Bombyx mori: one gene and its partners. The protein of the gene in region 3 purifies or fractionates together with the protein of the main gene of each other region. This does not show direct contact. Links are inferred from orthologs where the notes say so. Each region holds a gene or a part of one and is shown on either strand. Other genes may lie near its edges. The genes, in order: exocyst complex component 3, exocyst complex component 2 and exocyst complex component 8.

The links.
Region 1: the proteins of exocyst complex component 8 (region 3) and exocyst complex component 3 purify together in Homo sapiens (affinity purification with mass spectrometry; 5 studies listed by BioGRID and IntAct, counting the BioPlex papers as one, with this or other methods). This does not show direct contact. The link is inferred for Bombyx mori from reciprocal best matches to the Homo sapiens genes EXOC8 and EXOC3.
Region 2: the proteins of exocyst complex component 8 (region 3) and exocyst complex component 2 purify together in Homo sapiens (affinity purification with mass spectrometry; 7 studies listed by BioGRID and IntAct, counting the BioPlex papers as one, with this or other methods). This does not show direct contact. The link is inferred for Bombyx mori from reciprocal best matches to the Homo sapiens genes EXOC8 and EXOC2.

What each region holds. Positions count from the first base shown.
Region 1 is NC_085118.1:10,549,065-10,554,227, forward strand, and holds the end of exocyst complex component 3, read right to left. Parts: intron 4,598-5,163; coding exon 4,205-4,597; intron 2,543-4,204; coding exon 2,294-2,542; 3' UTR 2,204-2,293; downstream 1-2,203. Other genes in the region: uncharacterized protein LOC101740585, read right to left, coding at 1,593-1,632. UniProt on the Homo sapiens protein: Component of the exocyst complex involved in the docking of exocytic vesicles with fusion sites on the plasma membrane.
Region 2 is NC_085121.1:12,815,779-12,821,211, reverse strand, and holds the end of exocyst complex component 2, read right to left. Parts: intron 4,402-5,433; coding exon 4,214-4,401; intron 3,397-4,213; coding exon 3,337-3,396; intron 2,756-3,336; coding exon 2,671-2,755; 3' UTR 1,533-2,670; downstream 1-1,532. Other genes in the region: ATP-binding cassette sub-family C member 4, read left to right, coding at 1,492-1,515. UniProt on the Homo sapiens protein: Component of the exocyst complex involved in the docking of exocytic vesicles with fusion sites on the plasma membrane.
Region 3 is NC_085122.1:6,418,011-6,424,709, forward strand, and holds exocyst complex component 8, read right to left. Parts: upstream 4,380-6,699; 5' UTR 4,121-4,379; coding exon 2,075-4,120; 3' UTR 1,833-2,074; downstream 1-1,832. Other genes in the region: vacuolar protein sorting-associated protein 33A, read left to right, coding at 913-1,196. UniProt on the Homo sapiens protein: Component of the exocyst complex involved in the docking of exocytic vesicles with fusion sites on the plasma membrane.

The DNA of each region.
Region 1 (5,163 bases), on a different chromosome or scaffold from region 3:
CTGCCCAGCCCAACTGAATTTTTCTGGTCACTTCCTTCTCAAAGTTGTTTCTACCTAGTTGTAGGGTCTGTCCCAGGTAGACATACTCTTGAACAACTTCGAGAGGTGTACCATCAACATCGATTGGTCTCGGAATGACGTTTCCGTTAAACATTACCTTGGTTTTATCCAAGTTCATTCCGAGGCCAACCCGTTGGGATGCAGTATTAAGGCTGTGCACCATTTCTTGTAGGTCCTGCAGCGATCCCGCCATAATGACGATACCACCGCCCTGCCTATTTCTGCCATGAAGTAGTAATGCGTTTCGGTTTGAAGGGTAGGGCAGCCGTTGTAACTATACTTGAGACCTTAGAACTTATATCTCAAGGTGGGTGGCGCATTTACGTTGTAGATGTCTATAGGCTCCAGTAACCACTTAACACCAGGCGGGCTGTGAGCTCGTCCACCCATCTAAGCAATAAAAAATAAATAAATAAAAAGATGCTCGGACACTTGGCCACTCCATTTTTTTTGGCTCCGACCTTTGGATCGTCTTCCATCCACTTTACCCATCACTATGAGTCTTTCCAGTCTGAGTCTCTCTCTCCTCTCCTCTCTCTACATTATCCTATATACCTACGCATACAATTTTACATCTCACTAGTCTTCAAGCCCGAACGTATGATTACTGACGACAAAAATTGCGAAGACAGTACAGTCCTGAACTGCATTGGCAATTAGTAAAAGAAGTAAATATTATCTACAGTATGTAGCAGTTTCCCGCCATAAATCCACCAAATGGTATAGCGATTTTCGTCAAAGAGCCAAAAATGTCGCAGCATGGAGATTATTTATGGTTTGGCATTTGGTTTTGGATTCTATAAACAATTTATTGTGGAAAATTAGGTCATATCCGAATGAATAAGCGACTATCTTGGCTAACCTTGAGGCGGTCCGGGAATGTTAAAAATACCACCGCGAGTAGAACGAACGTTCTGTGGAACTAACACGCAAGACGCTATCAAATGTTTTCTACTATTTAACAACTATTCCCTATTTTTCTACAATACAAATGTAGTTGGATTTTTATATTAAAACTAACAAATTCGATGTATTTCATCAAAAAATAGTAAATATTATGAAATTAATAACGACAAGTTTGCTTGTCACTTAATAGTACGCTAATGTAAAATTTGCAATATCGCAAAAAATATTTAATATTAAATTTAAGTATTACATACATATATAAAATATAAATGGAATTTGTTAGGTGCCGGTTAAATAGAATTTCAAAATCAATTGAAAATTCTTCTTAATCTATGCGTTACTAAAATAGGAAGCGAGTAATTTTGAAAATGTTTCAATTGATTAACATGGCTACGTATACTTTGTTTCTTTAAAAAGAAATGTAGACTTTTAGTAAACGAATTCGGTTTCTGAGCGTACGCTCTCTTGAGAAAGCCAGTTACCAAAGAAGATGTCAATTAAAATACTTTAAATTAATTAAATATATTGTTATTATTCAAGTCAAATTTACTCGGGTGTTGTATAGAATAGAAACGTTTAAGGTCAGATAAGTCGGTATCGCAATTTTTGTAAACACAGTTGCTCACCTGCCACTAAGAACAAGATTAAGCAACACACGCGAAACATATCGACGCCAGGAGCGTACTTCGGCGTGACGAGGATACGAGAGCGAGGCGCGTTGGACGCGACTGACTGCGAGACTCGCCGCCCGCCCTTCGGACTACACACCGGCCTTGAGTCCGTGCGAGGTACGGAGGTAGTCACACTAAATAATACCGATCATTGTGATCCTATGTTCCAGAGTCATTAACCCGAAGAATGTCCTAATTATTATTTTTATATTTTCTAAGTACCTACCGAACGAGAGACATCTGTTTGCGATTCGTAGGTTTTTGATGTTTATGTTTTATTCAAACTTGTGGTGCATGGTGTAAATAGACCATTACATCGGCACGATAATAGATTCTAATGTAAACGAAAAGTAATATTTACTTATTACATTATATTAATAAATATCGTATTAATGCGACAAACTTAGATAATCAATATTAACAAAAAAAATCCAAAAATAAATTAGCAGTGATGTATTAAAACATACTAACTCAAAAATAAGGGTCGTTTAAAATAAAATGGATTTTTTTATTTAGTAAATCTTTGCAGTTCCTTCCAAAACCAACGCCAAAATAAATACCAAACGTTATTATTAAAGTATTTATTCATATTAAATAATATAATTTAAATGGGTGTATAGGGTATAAGGTGCGACAAAATGCGCGAAGACATAAGGTCAGCGCGCGAAGTGTGAGAGCAGGCTGTCGTTGAAGGTGATGTGCGCGAAGAGTGCGGGGTGCGCGGTGGGGCGCGGCGCGGGGCGGGAGGCGAGCGCGACGGCCACGGTGTCCCGCAGGCGCGCCCGCGGCACGTCCCCGCGCAGCCACACCAGCCGCGCCAGCTGCTCCTCCGACATGTCCGCGCACTTCGACACCACGCTGTGCAGGTCCAGCGACAACATCTCGATGTCTTGACACCGCAGCACCTGCACGACTCACACTGTATTACTCTGTTATATCCGGGCTTCAGTACCCTAGATATGCAGACCTTTTTTTTTAACGCTGGGGAATCCATTTACGGATACCCGGTCGAGGGGGGTAACGGACCGGTAATGTCGGACTCCAGGGCCTCCTGAGAGGGGAGAAGAGCAGGGCCGAGGTTCTTCACCGCCCCCAATTTCTCACAGGAGACTACGAGATATGCAGACCCTACCATATTTCTGCTGCATCAGCTTTTCCGTAACCTTATCCATACCGTTTTATTTATTTATTTTAAAACCAGTCTCTTCGGAGACGTGGGTTCGTATCCCACCGCTGCCACCAATGTTATACGTGATTCTATGAACCTTTTTTTTTTAAACTAAATTATAATTCGCGCTGGATTTAATTAAAAAGTGATACGCGCGAGCGCGGCGAAGGATGGCGACGAACTGATTGAGTGGGAATAGTAATTACTAGTATAGTAATGAATAGTAATTACTGTTGTTTTCCCCCCTACCTATTCGCTGGTAGCCTAAGAGGCTATTCCAGCTACGACCGAACGGGTTAGTAAGCTCACGGGCTCAACCTGAGAGAATTTGCTAACACTAGCCAGGATCGGAATCACGACCCGCTGAGAAGATCCGGTGAGAAATTCAGTGCACTTAATATAATATGTATACCATATTTTACTAAAAGGTGACGTCACAAAATATTAAAGCAAGCTTAGCTTTTAGGCCAAAGAACAAACGATAATTTTGATCTCCAAATGCAGAGATTATAATATTAATATTTTTGCGAGACCTTTATCAGGTTTTTTCCTTTATTTTATATAACAGGATGACTAAAAAACCATGAAGTACACATAGTATCTGATAAGAATCTCTGTAGTGCAACCCAAATGAACATGTATACCCGATGGTATGTCGTTATTGTCCCTCATGGATATTACTAATCCCAAACTGTGATGAATCAAATCAAAATTGCGATTTAATTATTTACTATTAAAAAGAAGTATCTACAATCCAGTCTGAGTTGCGGGAGATTTCGACCGCATGTCCCAAGGTGAGCGAGTATATTTATGATGGGCTGTCTATGGGTTCCGACAACTGGTTTATTAGCCTTTTCTTATTTATTGTCCTTGTAGACAGACGAGCATACGGCACACCTGGGTGCTTCTAGGTACCTCAAGCACCGATCATCGTTCTCGTCGAACCAGTCGCTTGCGACGAAGGGCTCGACGAGTAAATTCACCCACAGACACAGCCCACTGAGTTTCACCGCCGGATCTTCTCAGTGGGTCGCGTTTCCGATCTGGTGGTAGATTTCGGCGAAGCACGGCTCTTGCTAGGGTTCGTGTTAGCAACTTCGTCAGGTTTGAGCCCCGTGAGCTCACCTACTAGTTAAGGTTACGGTAAAATAACCTCTCAAGTCTATCAGCTTAAGTAGGAAAAAAAAGGCACACCTGATGGTGAGTGGTTACCGTCGCACATGGCCTTCAACAATGCCAGAGGCAACGCCAAGCCGCTGCTTCTACCGTTATTTATTCGTAGAGTTCCACCTCTTTATGTCTCCGCTTATATTTTTTTAACTTTCATAATTATTCATATTATTTCATAATTTAAGTAAGTAATTAAGTTAAAAAGAGAAGTTTTTGACAAAAGAATTACCTCAGCAAGCATAGAGATGACTTCAAATGGCCAATCTACATTAACACCCTCGGGCGCTATCTTCTTGAAGAAGGACCGTATTTGTTTTCCTTCTTTCAATATCTTATTGGCAGCTTGTTGTGCTTCCTCAACAGTTTTGAATGCCATTTTCTTGGACAACATTGCCGTTATGTACTTCCTATAAACTAAGTTCTGAGCTTCGTTTATCACATATTCGAAATTTTTCTCTCTCAAATGGTTGTAATCTTGGAAATAGTCATCGAGTGTAATGCAGATGGTATCTACTGGAATGCTGGAAGGCAGCCATTTGGAAGTGAACAGGTCATCAAAATGAACTTCAAGGTCGAGGAATGCTTCTTCAAGAAGAAATTTAGCAGCTTCGTCTCGCAAATTCTGTGTCGGAGGACAAACAAATAGTACACATATTAGGTGTGCTAGTAACAATTAGTTCAATTTTATTTGACTTGTGATCGTTTCTGTACTTCAAAATATTACTTAAAAGCAGAGAAAAAAAAAACTCGTATCTTCAATGAATTGGTAAAACCTGAAACACCACGCAGCACATTAAATTTAAAAAATAAATTTATTAAATATATAGTTTTTGTCGGTAAATTCGACAAAAGCAGACAATACATTTCGTTCAAACAAATTTTCGTTGAAAATTTCTGTTCTCTACTACAGTTCTAAATTTTACTAATGTGACTTTAGAAGTATAACTGATTTAAATTATAAGGTTTTTGGAATGAAGTTCCTTATGGGACGATGCGGAGAGGTACCCTAACAGGGAAAACGCGTTCGTAACGTAAGATTTTTATTAGTAATGCACACAGTGTACCACTTAACTTTGCGATAACGTACAAAAAATAACGTATTTTTTTATCATTCATTGACCACGATCTCAGAGCGTTCGTTTGCGCAATACACTAACTCTAATGCAAACAAGCGAGAATGAAGTGTAC
Region 2 (5,433 bases), on a different chromosome or scaffold from region 3:
ACACATCAAAGGAAAAACAAAATTGTTTGTTTTTATATAATTCCGAACATTTTCATATTTATTCACCTTTTAAACATTTTGTGGACTTCCACGAATAATTTAAGACCAAAATTAGACAAATCAGTCCAGCCGTTCTCGAGTTTTAGCGAGACTAACGAACAGCAATTCATTTTTATATATATAGATGACAATCGTGCTAAAAATTTGTTAAGTCATCACTACATAGTATAAAACAAAGTCGCTTTCTCTGTTCCTATATCTGTCTGTCCCTATGTATGCTTAAATCTTTAAAACTACGCAACGGATTTTGATGCGGTTTTTTTTAATAGATAGAGTGATTGAAGAGGAAGGTTTGTATGTATAATAAATTACATCCATTAAATAGCGGAGAAATCAATAATAAATTACAGTTTCCGAAGCGAAGCGAGGGCGGGTCGCTTGTTTATTATATAGCTACGTCTAACTGTTTAGCTTTTCGGTAGGCCGCAGCTTGGCTCTGCCCCTGGCATTGCTGAATTCCATGGGCGACGGTAACCAGTCACCATCAGGTGGGCCGTATGCTCGTCTGGCTACAAGGGCAACAAAAAAAAGTTTTACGAACATAATAGCGATAATAAAATTTACCAAATATCATATATACAAAGTGACGTTTTCCAGAATAAAAATAGCAAGTATTCTAGAATATTTTCAGAAACAAGTGACATCTATATACAGGTCTGGTGGGGGGAATGTAATACCCCTCCAGGCTGAGCCTTTGCTCGCCCACCTGACCTGATGAAACTGGAAAGGCCTCCGGGCCACCAGTAATCTTTCATTCATAAAAAAAAAGGAATGTAATATTTAAATGTAAAAATAAAGTTTACACATAATCGGTGAGCGCAGGTTAAAAATTAAAAGAAATAAAAAATCCCAGATAATTCCAGAGGGGTAGGAGCATTTCACACCACAAATAATATACTTATTCACTCTACAAGTCCACTATTCCTGGTCTCCAATTTTGAAACGTTAATTGCTACGTCGTTTTACTGATAAATTCGATGCTGTTTTTAAACAATTTGCTGTTGGGTACAATATATTTATATTGTCTACAATGAAAATTGTGAAATATTTGGTACGAGAACATTTCCGATACCTTTCAAATAAGGAGCTGTTGGTTTAAAGATGGTCCAAGATTAGTTACTCTGAATATCTTATGTACGTAACATGAAGCCTGTTCAAGCAGAGGTGCGGCTGGCAGTATCCAGGAATGTATTGACATTGTTCAAAATATTGGCAATAGCGTTAAGGCAGTTTCGCTATTGTAGAATAGTATCACATGACGAATTCTTATTCATTTAGCGATAGGCAGCGGCTTGGCTCTGCCCCTGGCATTGCTGAAGTCCATGGGCGACGGTAACCACTCACCATCAGGTGGGCCGTATGCCCGTCTGCCTACAAAGGCAATAAAAAATAAATAAAATAAAAACATTTTAATAGGTATTTAATTTTCAGAACTACAAGAAGAGCAAGATTTAGAAATAAAAACACATTGATTTAGATAACAATATAATCGTTTATTATGAATAATGTTATGTTATAGAAACAATAATAAAATACTTTGCTTAGTGTTTCCTTTGATTTTAAATATATGAATAAATAAATATACATTTAAAAAAAATCTTAATTTATATTGACATCTACACGGTATGGTAGAGGTGGAGACGGAGAATTAATTCATAGTGACATTTCGTGTAAATTTATCGTGACAATTTATATTGACATCTACACGGTAGAGGTAGGGTCGGGGAATGAAAGATTTAACTTTAATTTAGCGCAAGATTATGATATTTATTTTAAATTGACATAACCTTTTACTTATTAATCATAATTATACATTTGTAGGTCAAAAAAATAATAAACGTAAATTAAACCCTACTTCAAAGTTACATCGTAACAAAAATCGTAAAATCACGAGTGCATTCTTCCAGCGGCCGGACTTTAGTGATTTTTTATAAATATCGGTTAATTAACGAACTCTGTGACAGTCTGGTGTTGCATGGCACTGAGGCTCAAGAAAGAGGTGGAAGACTCAATTCTTTTAATAGTGTTTGTTATCAACACTGCCATGGTTTAAAATTTTGATCTTATTTTTTGTTTCACGAATTAGATATTAGTTATAGATGAGATTTCCTAAAATTTATGCGATTGGTTTTAAAATTTCAATCTCTCATACAAAAAAAAAGAACTTTCCAAAGTGAAATACAAAAGAAACGACATTTCCGAAAAAAAAACTTTTTTAGCAAAAGTTTTCCATATTACAGCTGATATAACAGAGATTACACGTCTTAGAAGCAAAAAAAATTGACCCAGAAAAATTTTTGCACTGTAATGTTTCAAACATTTTATAAGTCTGTGGTTTCTTGTGATTTCATGGTCTGTGGTTTGTGTGCAAATAATTCCGCCATCATAACATTTGCTACTTTTGCTAGATTTTGAAGACAAACGTCTGTCCACCCCTGTATTTTTATGCATTTAAGATTAAAATAACTATTTTCTACATTAAAATAAGACAAATGTAAATAAAATAAACATATTCGCTGTGTCCACTTTAATTCTATTCAAAAGCCATTATCATATTTAATTTCGTCATTCAAAATGAATTCTTTGATAATACTGAAGTGAATTCGTAAATTAAACTGTCTCCGTGTTACAATTCAAACTCGCCAGCTGAAGTGCCATTCGTTTCTTGAAATCCTGTACAATACTTTGCATACGTCTGTAACGCAAGAAGTGGTACGGTGAGTGATATAGTTAAAATATAATTAACTAGCGGCCCGCTCCGGCTCCGCTCGGGTCTTTAACAAAAATTTCAACGATATTTGACGTTGTGTTATTTTTAAAAATAAAAGAACGCTTATTGCGGCATGACTGTAATAGTTAGACATATTCTGTCGCGACACTTTTGTAAATAATAAGATGTTCTACAAAGTCGTAGTACATTATTTTATTCTATCATCAATAATTTTCGCAGGGCACGCGATGTAAATAATATTTTAAGTAATTTGTTTACACCTTGGGTTATATTATTGGAGCTTTAGTAAGGATCCCCAGTTTTTTTTTTCAAAAAAGATTATAGCCTATGTCACTCGGGAATAGTGTAGCTCCCAAACAGTGAAAGAATGTTTCAAATCGGTCCTTTAGTTTCGGAGCCTATTCAATACAAACAAACAAACAAATCTTTCCTCTTTATAATACATATTAGTATAGAAGTATAGATAAATAGTTCCTATACAAACTACGCCCGCCATAAAATTCTGTTCACTGCGTAATGTGAATCTGATCAATAGTTTTACTCACATTTTATCTTCTTCAAGTTCAAGCGGCGGCACGGCCGCTAGAGCCTCCTTTAAGTAGTTTCTGCAACCGAGAAGACAATTATTGAAATTAAATATTTTACGCAATAAAACATAATGTTTCTTATGACTGAAATTGTTTGTCAACGATTTATAATATACATTTTTTAGCCTTAAGAATTATCGTTCGGTTCAAATGTGTTTTCAAACCACCTTTTTTAAATAGTCAACTTTGTGGTCCAGCATCCTAACTCTGAAGATTACAGACATCAGGTCGAACAATCATGATTTCAGTTTTTCTATTTGAGGTCTATACGAAAATGTTTAATGTAAAATTTCTTTGAATTTTTTTTTATTGCTTCGGTGGGTGGACGAGCTCACAGCCCACCTGTTGTTAAGTGGTTACTGGAGCCCATAGACATCTACAACGTAAATACGCCACCCACCTGGAGATATAAGTTCTAAGGTCTCAGTATAGTTACAACGGCTGCCCCACCCTTCAAACCGAAACGCATTACTGCTTCACGGCAGAAATAGGCAGGTTGGTGGTACCTACCCGCGCGGACTCACAAGGGGTCCTACCACCAGTAAATGATCTACCACCGGATCAGAAACACAACCCACTGAGAAGGTCCGGCGAGAAACTCAGTGGGCTGTGTCTGTGGGTTAATTTACACGTTAAGCCCGTCGTCGCAAGCGACGGGTTCAACGCAAACGATGATCGGTGCTTGAGGTACCTAAAAGCAACGTTACCGGATCGAGAGGATCCGAAATTACGTGTTTAGGGCGACATCGACTGTTTACCATTCGATCCACCGGATCGGGTATTGTTCCTCTGGCCGCATCGCTAATAAAGAAACAAATGAAAATAGTTAACTGACTCTGCCTTCCTGGTGAGGTGGTCCCTGATGGCGACGGAGAGCAGCGTGTACTCGAGCGTGGCGCGGAAGGCGGCGGGGCGGGGCAGCGCGGGGGGAGCGCACGCCGCCAGCCGCGCCACCTCCTCGCACACAGTCTCGCAGATGTCGCGCACGTAGCGCCCCGCCGACGCGCCACACACGCTGTCAGTCTGACGATCGTTATTATACATAAGACGGGTGGACCAGCCTTTTTTATGATTGTGTGAATACTGGTGGCCCGGAGGCCTTTCCAGTTCCATAAGGACAGGTGGGCGAGCAAGAGCTCAGCAAGGAAGGGTGGGATTTGCTAACATCTACCCGAGCGCTTCCAAGGGAGATTTAACAACTCAAAAGTAGCTGCTTCGCGAATGAATCTGCTACCGGATCGGAATCGTGACCCACTGAGAAGATCCGGCGAGAAGCTCAGCGGGCTGATGTTTAGGTTAGGTTGCACGTCGAAATCTTTGCCGAGTTCCACAAATACGGTTGCCAGGGTCCCTAAACGTGCACAGAATCCTTAAGCTAAAGACGTCTAATGCAAGGGTTATTGGATCTGATTGGGACTGGCTCCTGCGTAATCAGGATTCGGGGAGCAGTTAGCGGCGGCGGTCTGAGGCTGACTTCATGCGTTTCCGGGTTGATTCGAGGTCAAGGTCGTCGTGTAGCTCGACATTCCTCACGAACCACGGTAGGGGGACCGCTCAGAGTGCACTCCCCGATAATCGCTTAACGAGGCGATAGTATACTATTTGCGAACCAGCTGTCCTACCCATCCTTCAAAATCGCTTACATGACGATAATAAAAAAAATATATATTCCCCACCTAAGCCATTATTTATGACTCAAACAGCACGGACAAAATAATCTAATCTAATATATAAAATTCTCGTAATATATAAAATTCTCGTAATATATAAAATTCTCGTAATATATAAAGTTCTCGTAATATATAAAATTCTCGTAATATATAAAATTCTCGTGTCACATTGTTCGTTCCCATACTCCTCTGAAACGGCTCGACCGATTTTCGTGAATCTTAGCGTGCATATCGGTCAGGGTTGAGAATCTAACAACATCTATTTTTCATTCCCCTAAATGTTAAGGGTGGTCCAACCCTAAATTTATTTTTTTATTTTTTAGACAAAAATTTTTGTTTTTATGTTTTTATGATACAGCATACAAAAATACATACAACCCTAAAT
Region 3 (6,699 bases):
ACTGAAATTTTAATTATGTGTTCTTGAGTTTTCGACATAATTTAAAACAATTTTTACGGTATTTCATTGTTTCCGACGTTTCCATTAGTAAAATTCACTTTAAACCGTAAAACTAGTTTTAATTATGATATTTATATGATAGTTGAGTATTTAGGAATATAAGTAATAATAACACTATTAAATTATGCTTAAAAAAAAAATTAATTCAATTATTAAGAACTGGAAATCAATGTGAAATAATAATTGAAAATAAAACACATAATAATAATAATAAAATGTGCCCACACATACATAGCCACACACACATAAACCAACATATAAGCTAACATAAACACGCATAAGTAGTGATAATAATATTGTTTATCTAAATTTGACATTGATCCATGTTTATTTCTGTTTCTATTCATTTCTTTTTTTTACTATAATCAATTTTATGATTTCAATAAAGGCGGAAGACCTGAATATACCTTCAAGCGTTTTATTCATTTTAATGGATAATTTCAGCTCCACTTCTGTGTGCATTATAAGAGAGTGCATTTACTAAAAACAAACGTATAGGTATCATACTACCGACCCGCCCTCGCTTCGCTTCGGAAACTGTAATTTATTATTGATTTCTCCACTATTTAATGGATGTTATTATACATATAAACCTTCCTCTTCAATCACTCTATCTATTAAAAAAAACCGCATCAAAATCCATTGCGTAGTTTTAAAGATTTAAGCATACATAGGGATATAGGGACAGAGAAAGCGACTTTGTTTTATACTATGTAGTGATGCTCAGTGGTGAGATTAAAGGTAGCCTAGTCTTTACAAAGAGGCGAACTATTTCATTATCAAATTTCGTCAAAATCGGTTCAGTGGTCTGAGTGTGAAGACGTAACAAATACGACAATTATACTTTCACAGGTATCCAAGACGTATTAGGCCTCCTGCCGGGCCCTACAGTGGACGAGCTACAAACCCTACAACCTCGTATGACACGTCGCCATTCCGGTTCCAGTGAGAATTCATCATCAATAGAAAACCCACGGGTCGTGCTCGTATTCTTCATTGGAGGCTGTACGTACCACGAGATCTCAGTGCTCAGGACGATCAGCCAGCAGGAAGATTCGGTTGTGGAATTTGTTATCTTAACCACTAAAATAATCAATGGAACCACATTCATAGAATCTTTAATGGAACTCGATTGAGCCAAAAATTGGTGTATCCTTAACATAGGATATAATAATATATTAATATACATTCTGTCATATTAAAAAGAAATAGACTGAATCATATTTTTATTCAATTATGAAATAATGTCATGAATTTATTTTTATGACATAATAGTGTTCCAAATAAAAACAAGCCCAAATAGTATAGATGTCAAATTATATCCCTTTTATATGTAATTATGTCAAAAAATATATGAAATAAATTAATTGCAAACGTAAAATAAATTTTCAATACACAAAGCATGAAACATATAATATTAACTGATAAATGTACACAATGTATCATATAATTTGCTGTATTCTATGATATTTCTTGCTTAAAAAGTTCCTGTATTTACAAATTTAGAATACACCAAAAATATTATTCTGGTAAATATTATTATTATTATTTAAAATATAGATTCTTTTTTTAATATATCACATTAAATATAAGTCTCTGTTTGTTTTATTGTTATAGATGTGTAAATAATTAAATTGTAATACAATTAGGTTTAGTTGCTTCATGTATTTTATTGCTTCAATTTGCTGTTAAATATGGGCGAAGAAATGATAATTTCTCTAGTTATATTTTGTAACATGCAAAATTGACTGCACTAGTAATAAAAATCATAATACTGGAAATATATTTTATTCTTGTCTTTACAATTTCAAAGAACACTTAAACAGATCACCATAAATAATGATTGTATTAAAACTTAATATTCGTAACTTGCATATACATAAAATTTAATTTGATCAGTATTTATATAAACTAACATAATTCTGCTTGCTTACTCTCTATTATATTACAAATTTAAAGCTTCAGCATAATATAAATAATTTCATACATCTTATTTATAGACTATTGACTATTCTCATAAATATTCATTACTTGTGTATTTTGTGATGTTTTTGGATGGTGTAATACTGACACCATAGTTCTTTGCCAAAGCTACTAATTTCTCATTATCATAGCCAACTTCTTCTTTATAACATCTAAGCATTAAAGGCATCACTGTTTCTAAAATGAATTTGAAATTCTTCTTTGCATAACTAATATCGTTGACTGATGCGAGGACAAGCCATGAATTGAATATTGTATAAATGTATTCATCAAGGTTATCCATCATATCTTTGTTCACTAACTGGAGACCTATTTTCTGTATAGTGACAATAGACTTTGTAAACCATATGGTACTACTTGATAAATCTACCCATGTTTCATTAATTACATACTTAGCTAATATAAGGCCCAAAGTTTCCATTTGTTTCAGGAATTTATTGACACCTGCTTTGGTGTGCATATTCACTGGAGTCCATTTGTCTTCAGTGATTTTATTTTTCATAGAGTCAACAGTCTTCTCTTTATATTCTCTCAAAGCTTTTATTATTGGTGTTCTCAAACAACTGTTCAACTGGAATCTTAAATCTAAACCAAATTGACAAAACAATGTACATTGTTCCCTTAGACTCTCAACACAATCCTGAACGGAATCTAATGCACACTGAGGTGTGAACACTTGTTTTATAATCTGACTCATCAATATCCTAAGTTGCAGACTAGCCCAGACTATAAAAGCACTTATTTTATTTTTAGGAAATAGTGAAATAAACTCTGTTAAGGCATCACTCAATGAGCAAAAAAACACTTCACCCACTTGTTTGACATAAGTGTTAATTGACCCTTCCAGTTGCACCCTTTTCACATGAACTTTGACTGTGTAACTGCATATCGTCAAAAACAAGTCACAAGCCTGACTGGTCATATTAAACTTATTGAGTATCAGTACCGGTTGTCTAGTTGATTGGAGACCTCCTCGCAAACTCCAATTATGTGTTACATCTAAATCTTTCAATAATATTTCAATTAAACTCTTTTGCTTCTGTTCTATTTTTTTCAATATATCAACCCTTTGTGGATGGTTTTTAAAATCTTCAGTATTTAAAGCTTTTTGAGCTGAAACCATCAACTCATAGGTCTTTTGAAAATGTCTCTCCACAATCAAAACATCAAGCTCTTCAGTAACATCAGCCAACCACTCAGGCAATGGTGTAATTTGGGGTGATGGCATCTCTTCCACAGACAGACTCGGTGATTCAATAGATTCAGATTTTGATTTTTCTTGACTATCTTTTTTCTTCTGTTTAGAATTTTCTTTTTCAATATACAGTTTTTTTGCTATCTCAAATTTGTCTAGCCAATCTTTTTTTATCGCAAAACTATTGCATTGAAATACTCTGGTGTCTGGGAAGGCTAACACTTTAAATGCTTGTTTCACAGTTCCTAAATCTCTTACATTCACCACTGCTAAATTCTTTATTGGGTAACTCACTTGAAACTTATATCTCATTGGACCACGTCTGTTAGAAATCCAGGATGTTAACATAAGGCAGTCATTAAATAAATATACATGCATTCTTTGTAATGCAGTATTTTCTTCTGCATCTATTTCTAGCAAGTCACCTTCATGAAGCAGAGTTCGGTCTGGGACATCTAACAGATTCATGCATGATTCTACCTTTTCTGTAATGAGATTTAATTTATTTTTTCGTTCCTCTTCTGCCCTCTCAGCCTCGACGTCGTGATTATCAAGAGACTCGCGTGATAAACCGTTCTCGTTACCGAGGATTGAGGCGTGGGAGAGCACAGTCAGCACAGAACGCTGTTCGCTTAACAAATGCGATAGCTTGTACATTTCTGTTTCGAGGTGGGATATCTCCGTCGCAGTCTCGATAAACTGCATATAATTCTCGTAGACATTTTTCTTTAGGGCACTTGCGGTTTCTTCGGCTAAATTTTGTATTTTCTCCTTCTGTTGCTGTAGCTCCTCCCCTCCGACGCAGGATCTAGCGAGGTCTTTTACGTAACGTTCGGGGACGAAGTCTGGGACAGCAAACTTATCCATATCTATCTCGGACATCGTTGCACATGTATTTATTGTATACTTCTTTCGTATTTATCACAAAACACTGGCTCGCACATCATTCGATTCTATAGGTAGGTATCGAACGACAGGACGTTTTCTATCAAAACGATATGTCAAAAATGCGTTTTGTTATCTCAGCTTCTTTTAAAGTCAGTTTGTTGGCAACGCGCTGCCAACGTTGCTATCAAAACGTTTTCTCAAATTTTATGTACAGTAGACGCGCGAGCTTGTCCATCCTGAGGAATGCGGTAGTGCTGTGACCTAGTTAATTATGGTAATGTCGATAATAACTACCGATTTAGTCAACAGCTGTCAATTTGGTTTAATGTAACCAGGTCACTTCGCAAATTATAAAATAAATGCGATAAGTAATGACTTATTTCTTCCTAATAGAGAAAAATATTTTTTAAATTCCAATTCAACTACTATGAGATGAAAAGACAACCAACAGATCAGAGTCCGAATCAGTGTAGGTTTTTTTCTACCTGAACTTGTTGGAAGCGGAGTATTCGTGGTTTATTCACCATGAAATAACACAATAGCGTTAGCGTAAGTTTTTGGTATCGATAAGCGCGCGTCACAACTGTCAAAGACAACACTAGACGTCAAACAAACGCGGGGAGGCGGGGCGAGCTGCCCCCTGCGCGTCGCCTCCGGCCCCGATGTACATGAACTCGCGCGCATACTGTATAGTAATCGGCACGAGTTGTGAGCTTTCGACAAAAGATTTGGGGTCATCTGCCCATCGTACAATTAGAGTCAAAATAAATGGTCCACTTATGTATTTAATATATTTTTTTATAATTAAATTAACTTCGTTCAATTTGGGATTTAAAAAAATATTGTTATGTAATTATGTATTAGTATTTTTTATACTATTAATTTTTTTATTTTTTTTTTTTATTTATTGCTTAGATGGGTGGACGAGCTCACGGCCCACCTGGTGTCAAGTGGTTACTGGAGCCCATAGACATCTACAACGTAAATGCGCCACCCACCTTGAGATATAAGTTCTAAGGTCTCAAGTATAGTTACAACGGCTGCCCTACCCTTCAAACCGAAACGCATTACTGCTTCACGGCAGAAATAGGCAGGGTGGTGGTACCTACCCGCGCGGACTCACAAGAGGCCCTACCACCAGTAATAAAACTGGATCCAACTTATTAATGGATGTTATGAAAAGTAACATCTAGACTATTCTAGACGTAACACCTACCCACCCAAAAATTCAGCTAAGGGCCCACCTGGTGTTAAGTAGTGTTAAAGACATCACAATCTGAAACAACCTAGAGAAACATAAGTCTTAAGGTATCAAAGTCTGCTTTGTATTGTATAATGGCTGTCACACCCTTCAAACTGGAACACATGACACCTTCGAGGCAGGAATAGATTTTAATAATGGCCCTTACCCGTGCGAGCTAACCCTACATTCTGCCACCCATAAATCTACTGCGATGAGTGCTTTGCAGCAGAAATAGGCAGGGTAATGGGCTGGGTCATAAAACTTAAATAAATTATAATAAAAAAGGCATCCTGAGGGATTTCAATACCTGCTTGACGATGTCACTCGATGCGAGTACGCCGTATCTAATGCATTAGGCCCTCGAGTCATTTACTTGAAGCTATTCCAAAGGTACTTCTTACTTTTTATTTTTTTATTGCTTAGATGGGTGGACGAGCTCACAGCCCACCTGGTGTTAAGTGGTTACTGGAGCCCATAGACATCCACAACGTAAATGCGCCACCCACCTTGAGATACAAGTTCTAAGGTCTCAAGTATAGTTACAACGGCTGCCGCACCCTTCAAACCGAAACTCTTCACGGCAGAAATAGGCAGGGTGGTGGTACCCACCCGCGCGGACTCACAAGAGGACCTACCAACATTAAAAACTTACTTACTGATTGTATGGCGTCTTGTGAGCCTGCACTGGTAGGTGCCTTGCCTATTTATACCACGAAATAATCATACGTTTAGGTTTGAATGTTTCGGTTTCGGTATTTCAGTTGTTGGTGTCTATGGGCTTCGGTATCTATTTATCATCCCTAGAAAATAAAACAGGCACCTATAGAAGGTTGAGTTGAGAATGAATGCTCGCCCACGTCTTAATGCATGCAAATTAAGATACTGTTCAAAATTCCTTTAAATATATGAGACGTTTTCAATATGTAACGAGAGACATTGGCACTTACGGAATTCTATAGATTTATACATACATATTCGTGTAGTTTCTGCGTAAAATCTGCGTTACAGGCCCTGCTTATCCTGGTGGTAAATATTCTGGGCTCTGTAAATACTGTACGTGGCGCGAGACGGCGAGACTCAACTCGAGGACTTTAGATTTTCTTTTTTTCTAGATATGTAAGTTTATTTAACCGCAGCCCTATAACAAAACCGGTAATTTTGCAGTAAACAAAACGTATTAATACGTTGTTTTTGTAGAGTTTGAATAAAAAAGATTCGATTGCAAATAATATCAAAGTACCTAGACCCTAGGTATATCAGAATTTTAATTTTAGATAAATTAAGAATTACTCTAGCACTACCGCGAGAGGATTGCCGCATTAAGTAGCAA